2 linked regions of the Bombyx mori genome follow. Each later gene encodes a partner of the first gene's protein in a complex. Links are inferred from orthologs where the notes say so. Each region holds a gene or a part of one and is shown on either strand. Other genes may lie near its edges.

Evidence for each region.
Region 2: regulator of gene activity (region 1) and CCR4-NOT transcription complex subunit 11 share a complex: the UniProt entries of both Homo sapiens proteins name them as parts of the CCR4-NOT complex. The link is inferred for Bombyx mori from reciprocal best matches to the Homo sapiens genes CNOT2 and CNOT11.

What each region holds. Positions count from the first base shown.
Region 1 is NC_085113.1:7,419,976-7,424,590, reverse strand, and holds the start of regulator of gene activity, read left to right. Parts: upstream 1-1,616; 5' UTR 1,617-1,975; coding exon 1,976-2,026; intron 2,027-3,908; coding exon 3,909-4,190; intron 4,191-4,615. UniProt on the Homo sapiens protein: Component of the CCR4-NOT complex which is one of the major cellular mRNA deadenylases and is linked to various cellular processes including bulk mRNA degradation, miRNA-mediated repression, translational repression during translational initiation and general transcription regulation.
Region 2 is NC_085125.1:1,942,941-1,947,250, reverse strand, and holds the start of CCR4-NOT transcription complex subunit 11, read left to right. Parts: upstream 1-1,387; 5' UTR 1,388-1,886; coding exon 1,887-1,930; intron 1,931-2,006; coding exon 2,007-2,098; intron 2,099-2,925; coding exon 2,926-3,149; intron 3,150-3,337; coding exon 3,338-3,498; intron 3,499-4,310. UniProt on the Homo sapiens protein: Component of the CCR4-NOT complex which is one of the major cellular mRNA deadenylases and is linked to various cellular processes including bulk mRNA degradation, miRNA-mediated repression, translational repression during translational initiation and general transcription regulation.

The sequences.
Region 1 (4,615 bases):
CTACATCTTCTTCTGAAGTTCAACCTGCTTCTCCTTCTTTTCATAGTATTCCATAATCTTGAGACGTTGCTGCTGGACAAGACGGCCCTTTTCGATGTTGAACTCCTCCTCGGCCTTCGCATCGATTTCTTCGGCCTTTTCGTTGGCCTCTTGTTCGATGAAGGCCATCATGTGCTTGATCTGAATTGAAAAATATAAACATTCTGATCAAAAATACGGAGTATAATGCTCAAAAACATGAAGTCCAGTCGAGGCAGTCTTATGAGTTGTCGAAATTACAATGGCACATCCCGATCAATGATCGTGACATATAATCCTTAAAATACTTGATTTTGTAGATAAATCAGTTTTGTTTATAACAAATACCTGTTTCTGAACATCTGCATCGCTGAGCGCCATGGCTGCTGCTTATTTTTAACACCACTAACACGAAAAACGGCCGATATAGAGCCAGAAAATTAATGACTGGCTCGGGGAAAGAAGTCTACGCCTATCAGACGTGCTTCTTTATTGAACAATCATATGATCTTAGTGTTGCCAAAAAGTATTGATCAGACATAGACAATTTTTTCTGAAATATTCAGAATATGAATCAATATATACATCTCGATCCTTCTTTGCTCGATGTCGGTAAGTGAAAAGGATATAAGAACTAGGTCGGCAGAGGCCGTATTCTGGTCGCTAGTCATAAAGCACGCAGAAAAACTTTTTGATTTTGTTCTATTTATGTAAATAAGATATAATAAACTTTTTTTAGCTATTATAAAATTTTTGGAATCAGATAGCGTTCCCATGTTTGCCGCCAGAGGCACTGTTTCCACTACATACAAATTTGAGATCTTTTACGCAATTGAGAAGTTAAAAAACTTGCACTAAGCACACCGAAGGACCGTCTTCTGACCGTTGTCGAAACTTTGTTAAATCTGCAATAACAGCAATGTGCACCCGATCCTTAAATATTTTCGTTAATGTTTTGAAATGAAATCCACAATTTAACTGCTGTTGTAAATTGTGAATTTGAACTAGGTAAAATGTATTTTTAACGATTTTCTACCCATCTGTACCAACGCCAGTGGTGGGCGAGCTCACAGACCTCTACCTGAAAGAAATTGTTAACACTGCTCTGGCTTCGCTGAATCTACTACCAGTTAAGAATCAAGATTCAATGAGAAACTCAGTGAGTGTCATAGGGGTTCAGTACTCTCAGTTAAGCTTCGATTTTACGACGCTAGTGGAGGGTACTTGAGACTGGGTTGAAGAAGGCCGAAGGCCTGGATCGAATAAGGCAACGACGATTGTTCGTTGTCATCATATAGGTCGGGAATGTAATTTACGGCGGCTACGATAAGAGGGCTATTACGCCGTGCAGCTTCCTCAAAGAAAGGTTCTGATGTTCTCTTCAAATATTAACGAATCGCTTCTAAATCCAAGTATTCGTGAAGATCTGAATCTTATACACCGTATACATTTTCCTTGTTTAAAATTTTCATTTTCTAATGTAAGATTTAGAAAAGGACGAAGAATCAAATATTTGCTATATATACCTAGTTAAATTTCATTAGATTGTAGTCTACGTAATGTGTGCGTAGATTGCTTTCAGACGCCATCCAATCTGCCGGAAATGTTGTATTCACAGTGATACAGAAAACACCTCAGGGAAGATAATAGATGTCTGACTCGAACTCGTTTTCAGTTATGTTTAAAATATTTTTTGGTTGGGTTTTATTATAATGAGACCGTCCGATCCATTCATCTGTTCACCTATCGGAATCATTAGGAAAGATGAATGATCCACCAAGCTTCCGGCACTTTGCAGGAATAGTTTAGTTTTAGACAAGGGAGGTGGGTAGTTTATAATTTTCAAATAATGGTTGTGAAGTTTAGATTATTTAAAAAATAAGGCTTTAAGTTAAAAAATAATTGTTTTAATCCTAATTTAGAGATTTTTTAAAGTAATTCTGAACAAAGATAAGAAATGAAGAAACGAAGTTCTACGAGGCACAGTAGCCAAACTCATGAAGATCAGGTTTGCTACTTATAGTTATGCTGTAGAGTCTTATAAAACTCTCAAATACACGTTTAAGCACAGTATTATGTACAGTATTACAGGTTTATGTACAGTAACGATGCTACGGATTGCACTAGTATGGGTAGTATAGTAATGTAAATTAAATAATTTTATTGTAAATTCTTAAAAATATTAGTATAAATTTTAAATGACAGATCTATAATAAAGAGACAAAACGATTTATACTATTTAAACTATTTAATAAAATTGTCAAAACTATTTTTATTTTTTAACAAACTAATTCATACGGCCTGGTTTTGAAGCTTTTTGATAATTTCCGTCTGCTTCTTCAACCTTTTAACAATATGGCCGCCTGTTGTTTAGGGTAATGTGGCGTTCAGCGAAATCGTATGAAAATTTTAAAACATTTATCAGTGACGTAAAGATGTATCAAGTTTACAGTGTTTTATAGCAGCGTTTTACGCGAAGACAGTTTTATGTACCATTTATATTGGTGTTTAAAATTTTGAATGCACAAAAAACATCAAAATTGGACAGTCAACAAATCTTGTTTATTACATCGAAGCGGAAATATTTATCTTGGCAGAGTATACGCGATTATGAACCATTCTTATTCTTTATAAAATAGTTGAACAAGGACTGATAATAGGTAAATATTGACAACGTTCTCAAAGTGAGCCCAACAACATCACAACAAAAATTGTCGCCATTGTTTGACAGGGGCAACTAAGCCATTTACTGATCTTTAATACATTCTCCATATCCTCTCTACTGTATAATATGCTCAACTGAAAACAGTTTTGTGATGCTCTTCAACTATCATCTCTCTCATACGTCATGCATACACTTAACCAAAGTTTAAATTAATAATAAGCAGCATGCAATTCCATATATAGTTAAGTATTCCTTCTACTTTCTCTTTCACATTTCCAACTACTTTACAACCGATTACTCCATGATTTAAATATTAGTTTTATTTATATTATATATTTATAGCCCATATTCCATAGAGTTGAGTCACACAAAATTGATCTCTTTTGTCTCAAACTTGATAACAAATTTTCTGATTTACAACAAACATTGTATTCAGAGGTTCTGCACATATTGGCACAGAATTTAACTGCTTTTCCGTTTAATATAACCATTGTGTCAACATACTGTAATTACTTGTGCAAAATACTTAAATTGTGAAAATTATTCTTATAAATGAACTCTAAAATCACAATACGAACCAGATACTGATAATGTAAGAGCAATAAAAATTATATCTGCTTATAAAATTGGAACACGATTTAAATATTTGAAATTGTAAATGAAATAGGCATGAATCTGAATAAATTTTATTCTACATCAACTTCGTCTCACACTTCCTTGACAATACCTCTGTAAAATTATTAAATATGTCCACTACATGATTATAGTCCATTGTGTGTAGTCATTTATCTATTATATATTATTAAGAGGAACTTTTACCAAGTAGATGGGTATTTTTGCTTAAGAAACGTTTTATGTTTTAGATCAAAACTAAATTAAATCTAAGCATTCACTAGGCACAAGTCAGGTTTCCGGTAAATGTAGCATAAAGATGTTATCCTTTTCCCCTACCTATGCTGATAGCCTTGAGAGGCTAGCAGAGGGAGATATTTCAGCTTCCACTGAGAAGATCCAACTAGAAACTCAGTGGGCTGTGTTTATTGGTTAATTTACTCGTTGAGCCCTTCGCCACAAGCAGTGGGTTGTGCAGGTTCAGAGAGGACGGTGGCCGGTGCTTAAGGTACCTAAAAGCACCGTTTATAGATCGGGAGATCCGTAATGACGTGCTTAGGGCAATGTTACCTACAATAATTATATCATATTGTAAAAAGGCTTATTTTTTTAGGTTATGGCAAACTTGAATTTTCAACAAGTGCCTCGAAGCCTAGCTAGTGGCGGAGTTGGTGGCGTTGGAGGCAGAGTGAGCTCAGGTCTTGTTGGTAGTGTCTCAGGACATGTGACACCAACTTTTGGGGGCGCCTTGTCGCCTGGCCGTAATTCAACTGCAATGCCAGGCGGAGCTCCCCCATCAATGGCATCTAGAGCTACGTTGTTTGGTCAACGAGCTTTTGCAGACCGAAGGGTTACAATGCCAACAACTTTATCTCAAGCTAATTCTAATTCAATGGTAAGTATTTTAAAATATTAATTGTGTATATGGCTAAAAATCAAATTAGTGTTTTCTGCTGATAAATATAAATATCAATGAACTTTACTTAAATAAATGAAATGCTTAGACTTTAAATTCAGACATACCTTGAAGTAAATCATCATGTCAGCTAACTTACACCACCATCTGTTAGAAACCTAAGGAGGTCAAAGAGTATATAGACACTTGAAAGGCAAACGTGACTAAGTGACAATAACTGCTTTGTACATAAATGGTAGGCAATAACCATATTCGATCTGGAAAAACAAATATATTTCTAGGTATATTAAAATTATTTCAATCCTACAGCTAGATTTGTTAAAATATAATTTTTCTCAGGTATTTCAACTTTAAATTAGTCTACTGTAAAGTTCACGCATTGTCGCTTAGTCACGTTTACCTTT
Region 2 (4,310 bases), on another chromosome or scaffold:
ATAGTGTTCTAATAGAATAGGTAATCGATTTGACGAAAAATGATGTTCCCAATAGATCGAATCGAATCGGTGCTTCTAAGTGTCTCTAAAGTTTACACTTTATCTACGGTAGGATCATTATAAGCTAAGTTAAAAATTAAACACTAAACTAAAAGCTAATAGCGGTGGTTTATTAACTGTTTGGTACCTGTGAAAGTGCACAAAAGTGGGAATATTAAACAAAAAGCCGCTGGACGTGGCTACTCTGAATCCTCCAAAAAGTCCACTGAAAAAGTTTTAATAAATAACCACCATTTACTGAGATTATATTTCATCCCGTATCATTTCATCTCATTTCATTTATTTTCGTGCCAATTGATTAGTGTTTCAAACTAATCAACTTCATTTCATTTCACAACATAATCATTTTTCATAAAAATATAAATATATATATAAAAGATTAGGCTTTATCGTACGATACCTTTGCCTTTCAAGTTTAAAAAATGGAACTAGACAAGAAAAAGAAGAATAACTAGAATAGTCATGCGCAAAATGTATCACTGAGCTGAAAAGGTAGATACATATCATTTCGCGCTAAAGATACAAATCACTAATTTAGCTCACTAGACCAGTGATTCAATTCAATAGATTGGTCTCTCAATTAATTCATTTCTTAGCCTAGATTATTTAGCTCAGTATACATATATCACTCACTTTGTATTGGAATATTTACAATGGTCAGTTCATTATATAACTGTCAGGGCCTTTCATACACTAAGTAATAGAAAATATAGTTTATTTACACTGTTTTATGATTAAACTTATTGATGGTAGGACCTCTTGTGAGTTCGCACGGGTAGGTACGACCCTGCGTATTTCTGCCGTGAAGCAGTACAGCGTTTTGGTTTGAAGGGTGGGGCAGCCGTTGTAACTATACTGAGACCTTAGAACTTATATCTCAAGGTGGGTGGCGCATTTACGTTGTAGATGTTTATGGGCTCCAGTAACCACTTAACACCAGGTGGGCTGTGAGCTCGTCCACCCAACTAAGTATTAAAAAAACATTAAATATTTACAACATGCAGCTTACCATAGAACTAGACACATTAAGAGACTTTTTAAAATATATTTTTTGATAAAGCATCGCGTTATTCATAATATGTATTAACTTCGCAAATTAATGGCTAGCTTTTTGTGTAAGAAAATAAAGCAAGTATAAATTTAGTTTCAAAAATACAAGAGTTATGTTAAGCTTTGCTCTTAGAGAAATAATGTACATTTTTCCTTGACAACCCAATACGTCGAAATGAAATTAGCGTGAAGTGAACGGTCATTCTCGTCAGCCAGCCTCACGATGCATCTATCTCACTCATTCCTTTTTCTTTCGTTCGCTCATCAATTCACGATACTTTCATGAGCTAGTGATCTAGTGAGCTATAAATGAGTTACTGATAATTTGGAGCCAGTGTTAGTGATACATTTTATCGGTGTGAGTGATATATATCTTTTATATCACTCACTCAGGAGCTATACATCCTTACAGTAGAGCTAAGCTTAATGCCACAGATAAGACATTTAAACAGCTAATGCCTTCAATATACAGAATATACTATATAACTACACCTACACTATTTATGAACTACAAGCCCTAAAAGAAGTTGTAAGTTTGTAAGGTTATACTGTTTTCGTAAATGATATATCAAGTGTACATACAACAGTACCAAACAGTACCTAATTCTCCAATTATAAATAAACTTGTAAAATTTGTATAATTGTTTCTTAATGAAGCAATTTTGTATTGTTAACGAATTGTGTTTTGACTTTTACTAAAAAACTTCTATTTTCATTATTTTGTGTTTCGTCTAAGCGTATAAATTTATTTGATAAGTATTAGTTAAATAAATAAAATGTCTCAACATCTGATTAATGAAAACAGTAAATACATACTCGAGTAAGTAAAAACACCACGAGAAATTAAACTTGCAAAGTTGTTTATGTTGTTATTGTTATTTATTTTTTCTTTTTAGTTTATTTTCCGAACAGACAGTCGATTCGCAGGGCTTAGATTCAATATGTGTTCAAGTTCAAAAAAAGTTCCCGAAGACCGATCATTTTAATCGTGAGTAATATATTTTTATTAAATATCAATTCCACTGGCAGGACTATGAGACTTGACTTAAATTTAAAGATTAAAATTCCTGGGAATTTAAGTTTAGCCGTGTGCTTATCAACATTACGTTTACACACCACACTTACAGGATTTGTCCTTTCAAGGTAGCTTACATGAAAATAATGATAGGGTGGTAAATTCAGGATGATAATGTATTAGCATTTTCAAATCAACCTAAAGATATGGGTATCTGTGTACAAGACTAGTGTCTGTTAACTACTGTTGTACTGTAAATTAGCAATATCCCTACTAAGAAACCCTAATAAGATGTAATGTTGATAATAAGTGGTCCATTTCACCGTACAGCTGTATAATACACCTACCAAGCTTCATCTCTGCACTCCCCTAAGGTAGACTGTTAGAGAATGCCTATGGCATTAAGTCCGCCTTTATACTTTCTAGTATAAGAAGTTATAAATAAATAAATAAATAATGGTAATTAATTGTGGTTGTTAGTGAATGATAGCTTGTTTCATCTCCAAACATTTCAAAGCTCATCAACTAGGTAGCAGAACCTTATTGTGGTATTTATCATCTCTGTTACATGCTTACCCAGGTAAAATTTGAAGTATATCACCTGAGATGTGTTGTTGAAAATATTCACAAACCATAACAGGAATATAAAATGTATAAATTTCTCTTTTTGGAAATCCCCAATTTAGAGTTTGCTGGATTATACTTCATTTTCAAATGATAGTATCCATACACAACTTTTGTATTGATATCTATTTAATAACAATCATTAAAGTTATATATGAATATAAATTTAATTTCAGTAAGTCTGCTCCTGTCATCGCTGATTACGGGCGGAGATCTTTCACTCCCTGGGCAGCGTGTTGTTGCACTGGCTCTTCTATATGACTTCTACAAGGGAGAAAACCCATTCAGCCCATTGTTCTTGCATCTCCTAGAAGGGAAGCTGGGTCTTCTGCCTCTAGCTCCACAGGAGAGACTGTTTATAGGACAGCTGCATGGATTCTTGCCTGTAAACATTAAAGATGTGAGTTTCACTTTATGATTTTGGATATATATGATATTAAATTTATTTAAAATAAAATCCTATATATCGACGCTTAGAAGGCAAGTGTGACTAAGCGACAATGCGTGAATTTTACAGTAGACTAAGACTCGTTTTTACTATTTACTGATGTAACCAAAAAAAATGATCAGTTATTACCGAATTTGTAGGTTATGAAAAAATCAGCAAAACAAGTAATGATGACAGAAGTATCTCCTAAGGACCTGGAGTTTGATTACTCACCGCTGCAGGCGATTGTGGCCGAACGTTTGACTGACACCAGTGCTGTGGCCCGGGCCACTTGTTCTGCATTGATACCGCTTAGTGATGGGTAAGACCTAACATATATTATGAAATATAGACACATCGTCTTTTCGCATTAAAAGTGTACAATTTCCAAAAATACTCGAAATTGAGTTAATATGCGGAATCATTTGGTATCACCAGTATTTTTCTCATAAATACTGTCAAAAGGGCGTAGTTTTTTATTTTTTGTTGTTTACCTATGTTTTGCCTACTATTAACTAAATTAATACATAATTTTATCTTACTTTAAAAGACAGATAATGTAACTGGTAAAAAATAAAAAATTAAAGTTGCGAAGATGATTAGTATTAAAAATATTACATGTTTATAAACCTTTAAAACACTCTCCTATAAAATTAGTAAGTTTTGAGATTATATAGTTTTAATGCAAGGAAACGACATGATTAATTTAAACCTAGTAAAATCTGGAGATATTGTAATGTAAATTCAGTTTTCTATAAAAACGTTCTGGGATTGTATTGCTTATGAGCTAAGGCCGATTTTAAAGTAAAAAAAGTTGACTGAGTTATGACTGATAAAGGTTTTTATTTTATTGCATGAGCCTTGGCCCAGTTAAGGTGTTACTGGAACCTATTAGTAATCACAAGTTGATTTTCGCCCTCTACAACCTCATGAACTTTCAATTCAAAATATTACATGGTGGTACCGACCGCTTCATTAAAAATATAGGAGCATTATAACACGATTTTATTACTTAATACAAACAATCAATTTACTGGCGGTAGGACGTCTAATGTGTCTGTACGGGTAGGTACCACCGCCCTGCTTATTTCTGCCGTGAAGTAGTAATGCATTTCGGTTTGAAGGGCCGGGCAG